Linked DNA regions of Oreochromis niloticus. The protein of the gene in region 1 interacts with the protein of each later gene in a biochemical or structural test. Links are inferred from orthologs where the notes say so. Each region holds a gene or a part of one and is shown on either strand. Other genes may lie near its edges.

The links. The genes of interacting proteins can lie anywhere in the genome.
Region 2: the proteins of fosab (region 1) and runx2b form a complex in vitro, tested with the Homo sapiens proteins (2 studies listed by BioGRID). The link is inferred for Oreochromis niloticus from reciprocal best matches to the Homo sapiens genes FOS and RUNX2.

Annotation. Positions count from the first base shown.
Region 1 is NC_031980.2:9,324,092-9,332,020, reverse strand, and holds fosab (v-fos FBJ murine osteosarcoma viral oncogene homolog Ab), read right to left. Parts: upstream 3,035-7,929; 5' UTR 2,855-3,034; coding exon 2,723-2,854; intron 2,278-2,722; coding exon 2,056-2,277; intron 1,962-2,055; coding exon 1,854-1,961; intron 1,738-1,853; coding exon 1,063-1,737; 3' UTR 497-1,062; downstream 1-496. Other genes in the region: proto-oncogene c-Fos, read left to right, coding at 7,141-7,269, 7,814-7,929. UniProt on the Homo sapiens protein: Nuclear phosphoprotein which forms a tight but non-covalently linked complex with the JUN/AP-1 transcription factor. In the heterodimer, FOS and JUN/AP-1 basic regions each seems to interact with symmetrical DNA half sites.
Region 2 is NC_031980.2:3,484,777-3,492,447, forward strand, and holds the start of runx2b (runt-related transcription factor 2b), read right to left. Parts: upstream 3,090-7,671; 5' UTR 1,061-3,089; intron 847-1,060; 5' UTR 781-846; coding exon 723-780; intron 1-722. UniProt on the Homo sapiens protein: Transcription factor involved in osteoblastic differentiation and skeletal morphogenesis. Essential for the maturation of osteoblasts and both intramembranous and endochondral ossification.

The DNA of each region.
Region 1 (7,929 bases):
GACGTCATCGCGCACGGCTTGCGATTAAAAAAATGGAAAGAACGCACTGACGTAAGAGCCCCTGACATAGTTAACCCTGGCAACAGGCGGAACAATAAATAGAGCAAGTGGAGGTGCAGGGAAAAAAGATGGCTATCCCTTATATAAGCTAATTTTAGCATTATTTTAATCATTTTTGAAAGCATTTTACTGGAAATGCTTTTAATTTACTACTCCTGAGAATATTCCCCTCTTTTATTTTTTCTTTTATTATTTTTCTCTTTCATCTTTTCTTTAATTATTTTTCCTTTGCCTCTCTTCCCCTAAACATGGGGCGAGGTTTCTTCCTGTTAAAAAGAGTTTTTCCTTCCCGCTGTCGCAAAGTCCTTGCCCCATGAGGTGACTGATGAATACACCTGAATTGAACTGAATAAATATGTAAATGCGTGTGTGTGTGTGTGTGTGTGTGTGTGTGGATATCATGAGAGGAAGCAACACACCCAGCCAGCACAGATGATTGAATTGAAATATCACTATCTTTTTATTTACATAACTTACAAACAACATTCTTCTTTACTATCTCTTTCTCTATTCCTCTATGTGTAAAAAAATAAATTTAATAAATTAAAAGGACTAATGTTTTCACAGAAAACTTCGGATAGACCACTCAGACCATGGTTAAGACAATGCACGTCTTTTTTTGTTTGTTTTTTTTCTTTTTAAAATTTCACAAACAGTTCACATATTAACTCTCACATTCCATTAACCAGAAAACAAACTGGATCAATAATAACTATTGCTCTGAACACACATCGATAAACAACAAGTTATGTTATCTAGCACCATATAAATCATATACGAACTCATATAACGACTAGGTGGTATTAGTTGAAACATGCGGGGAGGGGTTTTTTTGTTTTTGTTTTTTAAACTTGCTACATTGGTGTTATAGGCAAGTATAGATAAAGGCAGATAAAAATCATAAATAATTTAATATAAGTCTGTTCCATAGCCCTGTGATCGGCACATCTATGTAAGAAAGTGTGCTTTGATAGGAAGAATCATTGTTTCTTGTACAGTCTTTTAGAGGGCCAGCAGGGTGGGTGAGCTGAGGGAGTCGGAGGACTGCTCATTGCTGCTGCTTCCTCTCCTGTGGGCAACGCCGCAGGTGGGGAAGGTCTCTGCCTCTGGGAAGGTGAATACAAATGAAGACGTGAAGGTAGTGCAGGCTGGGGTGCAGGTTACTACAGGTGTGCACAGGGGCTCGAAGTCATTGGTATTAGCTGAGGTGTGAAGAGCCTCCCACTCCTGACCCGTGTAGAGGGAGCTGGACAGGTCGACCTCTGGCACCGACCGTGCCGTCTCCATCTCTGTCTTTGCCAGGAGATCCAGAGACTCCTCCAGGACAGAGGACTCCAGGTCTGACATCTTGACTGTGCTGCTAGAGACAGTGGCTGTGGAGAGGGCGGTGCTGGTGCTGGAGAAGATGGAGTTGGAGGTTGAGGTGAAGGTCGGCTGGCTGGAAGCGATAGCAGGTGTCTGAGAGACGGTGATCTGTGGCTGGGTGGACACTGCAGCGGAGTGGCAGGAATGGGTAGGAGAGAGGGAGGTCAGGGGGAAGTCCGTGCCCAGCTCAGAGGGGATTTTGCAAATGGGCTGGTGGGCAGCCAGAATGAACTCAAGCCTCTCCTTCTCCTTCAGCAGGTTGGCGATATCATTCTGCAAGTTGGATTTCTGGTCTTCCAGGATATCAGTTTCCTGTAAGAGAGAGAAATGGAGGAAGTTGCATCAGCTTGGCTGTTGGATAGCTCTGCTATTAGCTCTGACAATAAACACGTTTTAATGAGTGATGGTAAGTCTGATGGGATACTTACAGCTTGCAGAGTGTCTGTAAGCTCTCGCCTCCTGTTGCGGCATTTTGCTGCTGCCTGCTTATTCCTCTCTCTGCGAATCCTTCTCTTCTCTTCCTCCTCAGGTGTCATCTGCACATGATAGAAGGTAAAAGTTAGGACCCCTGCTCTTTAATAAACTTAGTCTATGACTATATATAACACTTCATGAACGAATGATAATTACCTGTTCCACTTTGCCTCTCTTGTTGTGAGCCCTGGACACTGCAGATTTCATGACTGCTCTTGAATATGCAGGGCTGGGGCTGGAGGTGTAAGGGTGAGCTCCGTGGGAAGGGGCCACTGAGGAGACCACAGGCTGGACCATCCACTGAAGATCTGGGCTCGTGGAAATGGCCGTGACTGTGGGGATGAAGGAGGCACTTGATGCTGTCAGGTCTGTGAAATCCTGGAGGAAATGAAATAAAAGAGAAGATCGTCAGGACGTTTAGTACATTATCAGGAGGGGTGGCAGCATTGCAAGATGTCTATGAATGAAGCACGGAGGGTCTATAAAAAGCTGGATGGTTTAAAAATATCCTTATGATGTCAGCTATGACGTTACACTCTCTCTATGGAGTTTCCAGGTGGATGAATGAAGCTTGCCTTGCACTGTTTGGTGCGCAGGTCAGAGTTATTTTTTAAAATATATATATACATATTTAAAAACAAAACTCAATGAGTGCTTTTCTTAATTTCCAGCCAGCCTTTTTCATTATTACCATTATTATTATCTGAAAACATCACTTTTAAGTTTTGTCAGTTTAATTTAGTAAACATCCAAATCTCCAACAGGTCCTTTCTGAGCTGAAATAGCGTGCTGTAAAAATTTAACAATGTTTAAGCGGACATACCTGAGACTGGGGAGATCCCATGCTGGAGTAAGATCCCGCTGGTGACGGGTAATATCCCAGAGTGTCCACGGACGGGGAAGCGGTGCTGCAGCGAGAGGAAGAGTCGCAATCCGCGTTGAAATTGAACATCATCGTTCCTTTTTTTCGAAAAAAAATTAAGCAGATAAGAAGATCCGGACAAACTCTACTAAGGACGAATGTAAACTTGAGGTCAGGATAGTCCTTTAGTGGGTTTGCGAGAAAACTCTTCAAGCGCTGTTCCCGATCAGTTCTCTTAGTCGCTGTTCTGCTACTCAAAGTTAGACTGCCAACTCTCCGAGCTGGGCCATTTATATACTGTCTGCTGACGTAAAGAGGGGTGTGCCGTGCACCCGACACCAGGAAGGAAAAAAAACACCAAAACACTGACTTAACAACGCGGTAATAACACCGACTTTTCCTCGCGCTCCATTTAAATTCAATACAGTTTGTTTGCACGAGTCACGAATGAGTCATTTACAGGTGATAAGTGACTATTTGAAATGTTTATTTCTAAAACTCGTCTTCAAGAAATGGAATATTCCGGAGCGGGATCCCCGATACGTAGGTATCCATATATGGTGCATCCTGTGAAGGAGGCGGGGCCTGATGGGAAATACACCGTGAGAGTGGCGGACAGCGGCATGACGTTATGTAAAACAACAAACAGAGATTGTTGTGAAAACTTAAAGAACTGAGATAACAGTGAGGAAAAGTGCGTCCTACACAGCAAGGACACAATTAAACATGCAAATGCGTCTGTGCTGAACAAAATGTACCAAACAAACACATGAAAAAAAAAAAAAAAATCTGTTTCTGTTTTTTTTAACCCCCTCCCCCAGCCGCGCACCTCCTTTTTTATTTTTATGTTTTTGAAATATAGAAACTCAGTTTTATCGTGCAAACTTTCGGCTTGTGGTGAAGCACTTTGTGATATTCATCTTGAAATTTGGCATATAAATAACATGTTATTTACGTACTCGCTAACTTCACTCACTGACTCACTTATCGGCTATTTTTAAAGTGTTTAATTTGATAAATGGTTACACACTTAATGCGAGACAATCCATACAATCACAGAAGGTCCGCATTTGCATGTGTAGGTCACGAAATACAAAGAATAATTAAAAATAAAGATAAGAATAAGCGAGAAAATGGTGGGTAATTAATTTTTACTTGATTCTGTGGTCTGTCCGTTTTCTAAAGTAAACCGACTTTTAATTTACTTATTTATTTAATTTTTGTATTCATGTATTTTTCTTACTTAATCCCAGATGCGTTTATATCCAGTAAGTTACAATGGAATTGTTTCATAGTCAGTCTAAAATATCTCTACATAAACGTTGCATGTCAGGACATGGGTGACATGTTCTCCACCCTCAGGTACTGTTTGTACCTTTCGCCTGCAATCCAGAACAGGGCGTGTTTAGCTGCAGAGCGAGCTGATAACTGGTTTTCTGTGTGTACGTTTCCTCGACGACAGGAGATGGGGAGGGGTGGCGGTTAATTGTAAAGGTCTTCCCCAAAGCCACTAGCAGAGGGAATCCTCAAGATTTACGTAAGAAGCTATGAAACGAATTCATGAAATGCAGGCTTAACGGTGAGCCAACATTGCGACTGCATTTGCTGTTTAATAACTGTTCGTTCTCTGACATCAGCACTTTTTTTTTTATTATCCTGTTCACTTGAGAAGTAGGTCTGTGGAACAAGCAGCATGACTTTCGTGCAATATTACCAAAGTCAGCAACATTTGCTGGTAGTTTTGTTCATGGTTTATTCTTAATAAAGGCGATACATTCATGATACATGAGTTTAATGAAACACAATTCATACTTTTCTTCTTCTTTTTTTCTCTCTCTCGTGAGTCTTCCGGGAATTCCCTTCTTTAACTAAACAAGCACAAAACAAGCACCATAAGCGCTCTCGACCCATTAAACAAACCATAAAGACTAAACAAAGGTGTCATTGTGTCAAAAGGCTCTAATTCAGGCTATAGGATTTTGCGCTTTCTTTCCCGCGCCAGTGTTTTGTTGAACATTCCTGGTTGTCATAGCGACGCCCAGCCCCTTTCGCGTCAGTGACGTCCATTTATTTTTTATTTTTTCATAGCAACGAAGATCGTGTCTAATCATGAGGAGGAGCCGCATCAACAGAGAAACACCAAACCGGCTTTTTCGGCATCGCCTGTGGAGACGGAACGTGCACATGAACACGTCATTAGCGGTTCCCGGAAACGTCGTCGGAGTGAGAGCTCTGAGTGTTTTCCCATCTCTGACAGTCCTCCCCTTTCCTCGGTGTCTGCGGGTCAACGGAATGGAACGGGACACCAAACAAGCCGTTTACCTTGAGCGGTGTTTGAGTTCTGTTTGAGTGGTTGGCATGAAGGTTGCTGACCTGCACTGTTTGAGTGACCTGGTTTTTGCTGGTGTTATTTCGTGTTGGACTGAGACTGGAATCGAAATAAAATTATAATAACAATAATAATAATAATAATAATGATAATAATGATAATAATAATGATAAAAAGAAAGAAAGAAAGAAAGAAAGAAAGGCAATTTCTAAAATAAAAACATATTTTTTATTGCTGTTTTTAAAAGTATTTAAAGTTAAATACTATCTAAATGCTATCTAATACCTGAAGTTATTTCTTTTTTTCTTTTTTTTTTATCGCTGCTCTTTGGCTCCTCAAAGGAGAACAGTTCACTAAAATGACCGTGAACTTGGATGCCAGTGGATCTAAAAATAAATTCTACAGTCTTTGCGCATTCACGCTCAAGTTGCTTTGAAGAAAACGACTGTTAGAGCTGTGCTGAGAGGTGAGTATTGTTCGACCTTTGAACTTCTTTTTGTCCCAGGCCGCTCAAAACGACCACCAATAGTGATGTGCCGGTAAATAGGGCCCAAGGCGGGGGGTTGCCACTGCCGGGAAGTACCCGGGAGCGCAGAGCAAACAGGGGGGAGCTTCTCACTCTATCCAGCGCTTATCCCTTTCACTTGGATGGGTTCGTGAGGTCACATGAAACCTAAATATAGCCCAATCCGGCCCGCAAGCTCTTGTTATGGGAGCAGAATTAGGTTATGCGGGAACATCAATTAAAGCCCGGGCTTTAATTGGTGCCGATAAACTGCATTACCGTCTGTGAGAAAGTAAGTCACGTTGTTCCTGTCTAGAAATTATGTCAGTCACTGGCCTTCTTGAATTCTCCGATTCCCTCATGAGTCTGTTTTGCACATCTGCGGCTGCACCTAATTGCCACCCTTATATGGAAAGGTGGGTCAAATCCTTCGCATCCTCAAACTAACGCCTGTGCGGGCATTCTTGGCGCAGCTGATGACGCTGATATCAGGTACAGCACAGGGTCAATCTCTGAGAGCTTGTTTTACTTTCTTTTTGCGGCAGCGAGTGAGTGGGCCACACACAGCCCGGCAGCGTCCGTCTGCGCGCTATCCTTCCTATCCTTGTGCCACAGCACCCCCCCATCCCCCCACCCCTCCCGGAAATACCATATATGGCTCGACCGGTCCATTCGGCGATTGGCTGCTTGGCTTCAGCGACAGTTCTGTTGCTGGAGCTCTATTCATATGTAGAGACAGGTGAAAGGCAATGTGATACGTGAATGACACTTAATTATGACGGCTTATAAATAATCAGGCAGTGTGCTGGAAGTGTGCTGTGAAATAATTAAATTAATGCCGGATTTTATTATGTGTCTATAAATAGATGATGGAACATTAGTGCATAATCATTGTTCTAATGTGGACAGTTTGGAGGAGAAAGAACCGGGGAAGCACCACACTGGCTATTTTAAAACCATTTATTAATGAAGCCTATTACACTGCCTCCACTTTCCTTCTAATGCATTGAGAGCTCGTGTTACCGTAAATGCCCAGAAGCATTAAACAAAGGCTAAATGTCGAGAACATATGAGGGCATGACGGGAACATATAGCCTGTGATGCAGATGCTGCATACATGAAGTGACGTAGTTCATTCATGGCGGTGGGCACCTTTTGGAGGGAGGGGTGCCATTTTCTATGTGCTCACTTTAAAAAAAAAAACATTTGAGTTCTGATAATAAGCTGAAATAAAACAGTGGGCTAGTGTTGATTTTTACGCACTTCAATGATTTGATTGTTGAACTGTAAAAAAACCCATCTGCTAGCCCCTTTCTCCTGTCACTTCTCCCTCGGTGAAATGGTTCGGTCTCACCACACAGATTTCATTCATAAAATTCCAGCTCACTATAAAAGGCGGGCCTCTCCACTATGTGCACAGTTATGAACCTGGCAAATGGAATATAGGCGTCCGGGACATCCGTTTTCTGTCTAGCACAGACTGACTGTTCAGTCTCTTATGCGGTGATTTAATTTTATTTTGAATTTTTATTTTTTAATGAAACCATGCATCCAGACTCCAGCACTGAGTTCGACTTATCGTCCAGCTGTAGCACAGCATCGCCTGGCGGGGACACCCCTGGGTGCAGTCAGCATCCTCCTGACTCGCTTTCATCATCAGTGGACAGCACCAAGGTAGAGCCGGATCTCTTCATTACACACACAAAAACCTGATCACAAAGCGTAATCTTGTGTTTGACGCATGCGGGTGATACTGCATTCCTCAAATTCTTCACATTTTTATGAAGTCATTTTCATGCACTGCATTTCCCCTAGCAGGATTACTATCCCGTGTTGGAAAAATGACTAGAAAAACATGCGTATCTCTGTAGAAAATCCCTAAAAAACAAACAAACAAACAAAAACAGCGCAATGATATTATTATTTAAATAAAACTGTTTGTAATGCTGTCTGCTTCACAGTCTTCGTTGCAACCTTTTTTTTTATCTATCATAAAAACTGATGAGGATGTGACACGATATGACACGCGGCTGGTTCTGAGGTGTTTACAGAGAGCAGATTTTTTTTGTCTTCTTTGACATTCCTTGGACAAATGATTGATGTAACATTTAAACATTGCTAAAGGTCAGCCAATAACGTGGTCGCCCATTCATCAGATACGCTAAATTAGTATTTTACTGCATGCATATGCATGTCTGTCTGATGTGGGTTTTTCCAGGATACTGAGACCAGTGCAGCAGCCTCCTTTGTTCCGACTGTGACTGCAATCTCAACATCGCCAGAACTAAAGTGGATTGTGCAGCCTACAGTCATCACATCTGCCTCTCCGTCGCC
Region 2 (7,671 bases), about 5.8 Mb from region 1:
CATGGATCAACTTCGAGTTCAATCTGGATTTATGTCTGTCGAGTAAATGCTCCCTGGAGCCTGCAGAAATTGACACCGATTAATTAACGACAGCAGCGCAACTGAACAATTTCAGGAAGCGATTACAGATCTTTCTTGGCAAACTAATCAATACTTCTTCTCTATGCGCAAGCAGAGGCACCCAACACACACAGCCCAGTAATCCCCCACATCTTGTTCCAATGCTCCACTGTAAACTCCCTTGTGCAGCGTCTGTTTACGTCTGTCAAAAATATCACCCGTGCCTTTGTTTTTGGTTCCGCAATGGCATCGCTTTGTAAATCTAAGGGTATGTTGCACAAACATATCATCTCCCTCTTTGGAAAATATTTATAAACATCACATAGAATAAATACTGGAATCTCTATGTGCAGATTTTCTTTTCTTGTTGTTTTTTTCTTTTGGGTGCACAAAGAAAAAGGAGAAAAAGCCTTGATGATAGTTGGGTGTTTTGTCCGCCACAAAAGCTTGGACCTTGATAGCGGGGTCCTCCATGACCTCAGCTGATCCCCTCCACTCATCTGGACCCAAAACATCGGACCAGTTCCAACATCTTCGCCCGCTTTCCTCGAACCCCGTTAATTCCACCACCCAAGCCTCACCACCTGACCCCAAGTCCTTCCTGTGACCTGAGCCCCCCAACCCAATCCAGACACAACAGGGAGCAGGAAAGTGGTACTCACCCCAGAAGAAGTTTTGCTGACATGGTGTCACTGTGCTGAAAAGGCTGTTAGATGCCATAGCTGCCTCTGGTTGCAGCAAGCCCCACTTTTGTTCTTCTGTGGTTTCCTTGACCCTTGACACGTCCTAAACCAAGAGCACGCAGCATGTCATGAAGAAAAAAAAATGGAAAAGCCATCCACAAGACATGCTTTTACGTATCAACTATTTGGATGACCACAAGTAACAACCAGGTCTGGTTTTATAGAGGAAAAAAAAAATTGCAGAGACAAATATCGCCTTTGCGGATAGATCAGATGGTGTCGGACTTGCTTGCTTGGCGAGTGTGGTTGGGACGTACTTACTCGCTTAGCGCCGTCCTTGTGACTGGTGCTGGCCCGCGACGATTAACCATTTACACTCCAGGTCGCCCTCAAACACCAACCCCGAGCCGCACGTCTGTGGTTCTGTGGTTGTTTGGGAGGCGAGCAGAGCCCTCACACAACCCAAAAGGCACCAGCTTTAAAACTCGTCTCTTTCCTGCCCTCCATGTGCCGTCACTGGAGAGCCTGGGTCACATGCCCTCTGACGTCATCACGGCACAGCAGTTGAGTTGGGACAGCCTACCGTTGTGGCTTTCTTCCCTCTCCTCTCCTTGGACTTTTTTTTTCCTCTACTCTCTGGCTCCCCTCCTTCTCTCTTGCGCGTGGTTCGGCAGCATTTCCAGGCTCTCTGGGGATCGGGGTCTGACGCTCCCATGAGTCAGGAGGCTTCAGTGGGGGCAGCTTGTTCAACCGCCCATGCCTCCTCAGCATATGGGGAGCAGTGCTCTCTCTTGGGTTGGTCTCCCTTCACTCTTTCATCCCCCTCCCTCCTCACTCTCTCTCCTCAAACTCTCTCTCTCCCTGACACTGCTGCTCCTTCCCTCAACTCCTTTAGCAGGCTGCCGTGCTGCTCCTGTCTGCCTCTGAGCAGGGAGAGCTCAGCTTGGTAAGATTTGAGGGTGTGAGTGAGGAGCGAATGGCTGGCTGGTGGTGGTGGTGGTGTGAGACTGGGTGTGTACACGCGCGTGTTTGTCTGCAGCAGAAAGAATTGGGGAAGAGAGGAAAAAGCTGGGCGAGCGCATGTGTGTGAAGGGAAAGCGGAGGTGGTGTGACACTCTGCTTATTTACCGAGGAGCGTGTCTGAAGAGTCGTCTCGGTGCAGCCTGAATTTGTTCTCTTTCTCACTCCTTGCACGTTGCTGTGTCACAAACAGTAGTTATGTCACCGCGTTATTACCGTAATAGCCGTGTTTGTGCATGTGCATGTATGCATCCAAGCCTATACTGAGCTTTCATTGGCTCTCACTGAAGCAGCAGTCAGGGGGGCGATTCCCGTAAGAGGCCATAGATCATGGCCACCTGTCTTTTCTGTAAAAGAGATGTCTTCTAACAGGAGACACACACACACCCCATCACCCTGCCGAGAACGGCCTGCCAACCTGTAGTGCAGAGCAGGCAGGTCTCGACAATTAACAGTGAATCATCACACGCTCCACGCACACACCGATTCCCACACCCTCGCACATCTCAGCACGGTTTGTCTTTTGATCACTGATCACAGGTGTTTGTTACAACACATCAGAAAAACGCAGACGGGGTGTTAGAAGAGAAGCAGAGGAATGTGTGGAATGAAGCTGGCAGTTCAGTCAGGTTTGAAAGTGTTAACAGTATCTTAATCATTCTTTCATTTGCCAGCAGGCATGTGTGACTAAGCAGCAAAGAGTCGAGTAGCTCCTCAGCCTTTTGTCTTTCTGTCTTAGATTTGTTTTTGCCCGTTGAAACTTTCTCCCTTTTAATTAGCCGTCAGAATAAGCCTATCAAATGCTTCTAATTTATGAGATGACAGCTGTTCAGGTAGGTAATTTTGCTTTTATGTGACAGGTTTTTTTTATATTCTACCTAGGTATTGCTACCTGTGCCAATATACCATGGAGAACAGTCAACTTTTATTTGTGTGGCTCACCACATTCAATTACATTAAACCCACAAAGAAACAAAAAGAAGCAATAAACATCTTAAGAGATACTACGTTCAGCTACTATTACACTTATTGTGAGTGAAGATTATTGGGGGTGTTTCTTAATAGAAATGATACAACGAAGCTCCAAGGATCCAATGACACTGGGTTCTGTGGGTTGTTCATGCTACTTGTGATTTAAGAAAAATAATATATATGTTAGGCCCTGCTAATAATGCATGTATCGATTGTAATGTATCTATACCACTCCTGGTTTGGCAGTAGAAAATCTCTCTCTCTCTCTATCTATCTATATCTATATATATATACAGATACACATTTTAGAAACAAATTAGAATAAGTGTTTTTTAATTTATCAGTCTGCTTTTAAATACTATATTTAAAATAGACAGCACATTAAAATTTGGGTGTTTTTTAAAAACATATAAAATAGCATTTAAATACCATGCTTAAGCAACAGTCTTGAAAAATTTTCATCAAAGCCAAAGTCCACAATAAACAAATATATCACTGTATCTCAAAAAAAAGAGAGACCTAAACACACAGTCAACAAAACAATTAACACTACTGTCTGTGTAAAAACTAAGCATACTGTCATATTCTAGCGATTGAGTCTGAGCCCTTTTTGTTTCAAATACTACTACTAATATGTCAAACATAAATTATAACACCACTCCCCCTCCCCGAGAGGCACAACAGCATTTCCACAAGTCTTTGCCACCGACCTTATTTTCGTACAGCGAAACATTTTCCTTGGCGCGGTGCTTTGTAAATATTTGCTGTCTAAAACAAGAACATGCCTCTTGAGTTGCAGCGCATGTTACAGCACAGTAGGGAAGGGCCATTCAGATGCTGCAAACACATCGAATATGACAGACAGTACCTGTTTCCGTGGCAAGATTTAATCGATCGTGTCATCCGTGCAGTTTACGTTCACTCGAAATAGAAAATACTCAAAACCCCCAGAAGCAGACTTCTGCAGTTGTTAGACGTTGTAAGTTTTAGATCACAGCAGTGCAGCAGCAAAGAGAGACGGTTGCAGATCTGGATCAGTTTAGTGCTCGATACTTTAAGTATTTCAAGAATAATATTTAAGGTCATGTATAAACATTTTTAGGGTTACTGCAAATGGATGCTTTTCTGTCAGAAGTATTAAACTTTGGGACAGAGTCCAGCACCACCGAGTGCCGCTGAGCCACAGTAAATTGCACGCAGTTTGATGGGGATATAATTTGCACATCGTGATTGAATCTAAAACATGGAACGAAAAGTAAAGCATAAATGTCAAGCTCCACTCACATGGCAGGAAACATAACTTCTTGGGTGGCACGGCATGTGATAAACAACCTTGATGGCGAAAATCTGAACTGTGATGATGTTGTAGTGTCAGATATCTCGCATGAATTCTGTCCGGGCTGCACAGATTTCAACTTTGCAGAGCCGAGGGTGCCCCCCTCCCCCCCGATACAGCAGCAAAGTTTCGTTGAAGTCGGCCCATCTCGCTGTCAGGTCAGAGGTTCACACACCTTATGAAAAACCACTGTGCACTTTTCCAGCACTGAAACTGCTGGTCTTCAAATCTGAAGATTTAACTCCCTCTAGATCAAATCCAGAAGACATCCAAATGAAAGGTTCTGACTTTGTTGGTATAAGAATTGTTTTTGGAACTTTGTGCAGTTCAGCAGAGCTCACTTGAAAAGCTATTCATTGGATTTAAGTCAGCTTGATTGGAAGAATTTTTCTCTGGAAATTATGTTGATGAGAGAAGAGCCAAACACGGCAAAACCCATCCGTGCTGGTATTTAGAGCTCATAAAAAAAAACCCTGTTTTATATATGTATTTATATCTTTTGCAAATCCAGGCCTATGTATAAATGTATAAATGCAGTTAAAGGAAATACTTAACTGTACCTCGTCGCTGTGTTGTTACAGTTTGAAGCTTTATTCTGTAACATTCGTACATCTTGCTGTCAAAAAAAAAAAAGACGAGATTTTATGTGCAGGTAATAATGTTACAGGCTGAAATATAATGTGGAATATAATATTTCATTCATTACTGGTTCTCCACTGGTGGCCGTACACTAAGCTTGCTATACTTGTGTGCGGCGCTGAAGAGCTTGGCCATACTCTGAGCTCTGGCCAAGGTCTGCCCTGAGGACTGTGGTTGATGGCCCACCCTGCCAGACACTTTCCCTCTTCTACCACTCAGGACCACACACCTTCAAATGGACTCGCTTTGTTATCACAAGCTCTCGCAGACACATAATAGAGGTATCGTGTGTTGGAGCGCGCTTAAAAAACGACACATGCTATTAACGCAGCATGTGTGTAATGCAGTGCTGCTGTTTCCTCGCTCTGTCACAGCAGATGACCTTCGCAGATGACTGTTTTCAAAGAAAATTATTTCTGAAAAATATTGGGGGATAATGATACCTAAGATGGGTTAAAATGAACTCAGGCTGAGGCTGTCTGTATTCGTCTCGTCGCGAAAGCTAAAAATGACGTGACATAATTAGCCCGGAGTGAGACATTACACACACGGACGGATTACAGTATTAGAAAAGGAAGGGCTTATTAATAGCCCCGTTGGCTCGTGTTGTGTACTCTCTCTGGCGAGGCATCAGAACGGCCCGGTCGGGCAAACAGGCAGGTACAGTGATTCACTTTAACAGGCGACATCTGTAAAACGCCAAGGTAGTTTACACTGCGGCCGGGCCCGAATTAACGTGCTTTCGTTGGAAACAAACACCACTTGCAATCAGCTTCTGTTGGCCACCGCGCCACTGGTGTGAACGTAAATATCCCCTTACGCTGCTGCTGAGGCAGAACGGTGACCTGAAGCAACAGAATAAAGCGAGCGCCACGCAGAAGTTCGCTTCAACGGGATCCAAAACTCATGGAAGTGAAAAACTTAATCTATCGCGCCGTTTCGCCAAGAGGATGTTGATGTTCTTTGTGAATTGTTTGGTGAAGTACGGTATGGTATAATCTTAATGAAAAGTAGATATTTTTCTTTTGGAGTCCAGCAGCGGTATCTACATCTTCCAGTGACTTAAGGACCTTTCTTGTGGTGTCTGGACAGCTGTTTTTGGAGTCACAGCTATGAGGGAAAATAAAGTCGGCCTTTAAGTAATAAGGGGAAATGTTTAATATCGAATGGCGCGCGCACAACCTAAACACACATTAAAAATAGCTCTTGGAGTTGTGATTACATAAAATTGCAAAAAGGAGAAAGTCAGATCACTGGTGGAGGCTGCGATGAGGAGGCTGTGGCTGACCACCGAGAGACTGAGCCATTTCTTCTTTTTTTCCCCCTTCTTCCATTCCTCATTTTAATCAAGGGCCAGTCCAGGATAAACAGTGCCTACCTACACTGCAGTTCAAACAGCGAGGCCCGCTGAGACCCAAGCGATGATTTCTAAATGTTCACTGACAAGTTGGTTTAATTTGTGTGCTAAGTAGATGGAGTTTGACTTATATATATCTTCCTTACTCTGGCGTGCATACCAGTCTCCCGCTATTTCTCCACCTCTGTGAAACTTCATGGTGCTTTTTGTATGAAAAGCATACTGGTCCTCCACAAATCCTGCTGTCTGGTTTACATATGCCATGCTGTGTTAAAGGTGAGGACAGGTCCCGCCGCTGAGGCCTGAAATGAAACTTACAGCAGCTTCTTCAGACCAAAGACCATGACTGAGGATCTTGGTGATGTTCCTGCTTCTACTCTATTCAGATTTTTTCTACAGTCCGTGTCCACTGAGACCGGTACAGTATAGTTGCGGCCGCCTGAAACCCTGTCATTGTGTGGTCAGTTGTCAACAGCTGAGAGATTTTACTATAGCTGCTAAGGCCAAGGTTGACAGAGTTCAAGTGGCCGAACTGCTAAGTCAGCATTATAATTACAATGCACCGATGATACAACTGTACGGCAACAAGGCCCGGGAGTCACATGACGCCCCCGGTCACATGATGTCGTCACTCCAGGCAAATGTCAATAACAGAAATGACTGTGTGTCATTCATCTCGTGCGCTAGGAAGAATAAATTAACTCTGCGCTGGCCGTGACTCAAATCTGGGGGTGACAACAGCCAATCCCAACCTGAATGAGCTTTCAGATGAGCTGCCGATTATGACTCTCACAAACTCAGTTTACTTGTTGAGGAGAACAAAGTGTGCCTGATAAAGGCAGACAGTGCTCTAGAGAAACAAGCTATTATGAGGAGGAGTTCGGTACTGTGTCACTGACAATGCAGCAAACAAAAGGCTCTGTTGTCTTCTCCAGCCGGTGGGTTATTTTTTTTTCTTTTTTATTTTTGTGGGGCTTTTGTGATGGATAATTGCCCTCCTCACATGATTTCATAACGCTGTGACTCGTCTTTCAGTCCCCGTGTAAGACAATAACAAGATAAAAAAAAAAAAACGGGGGGAGGCGTAGGGAGGTCTAAATCTGAATTTTTGACATTGTTAGAAGTGGCCGCTTTTCTTCCTTGTGGTGTATAATTTTAGAAAGATGTATGAGCAGGACGCTGACTTGAACCAGTCATAATACAGCCTGGAGCACAGGCACACAGGCCAGCTCCCAGAGTTCACTGGCGGCATTGTCTTAGGATAATCACACAACTGTACCATAGTTTATGGCCTTACATCTTATTTATATCAGAATATCAAATTCAAATCATATGGGGGTACTCCAAAGCCACGCTGACCTAGATTTATAATGACAAAAAGAACGCTGTCATGGTGTTTAAGACTGTACACGTTTTCCTATTTTATTAACAATAAAACAGTAGAACAATGAGCACTGTTTCGGTTTCGGGATTTAAAAGGTGATATTTATCACCTGCATCTCTTGTAAGATTAATGTTTCCGTCTTGCTGACAGTATTATGCTAAAGTCTGCCGAAACCCAGTACAAATGAGTGTCTGTGTTTCTACCCCAAGGACTGGGCTGA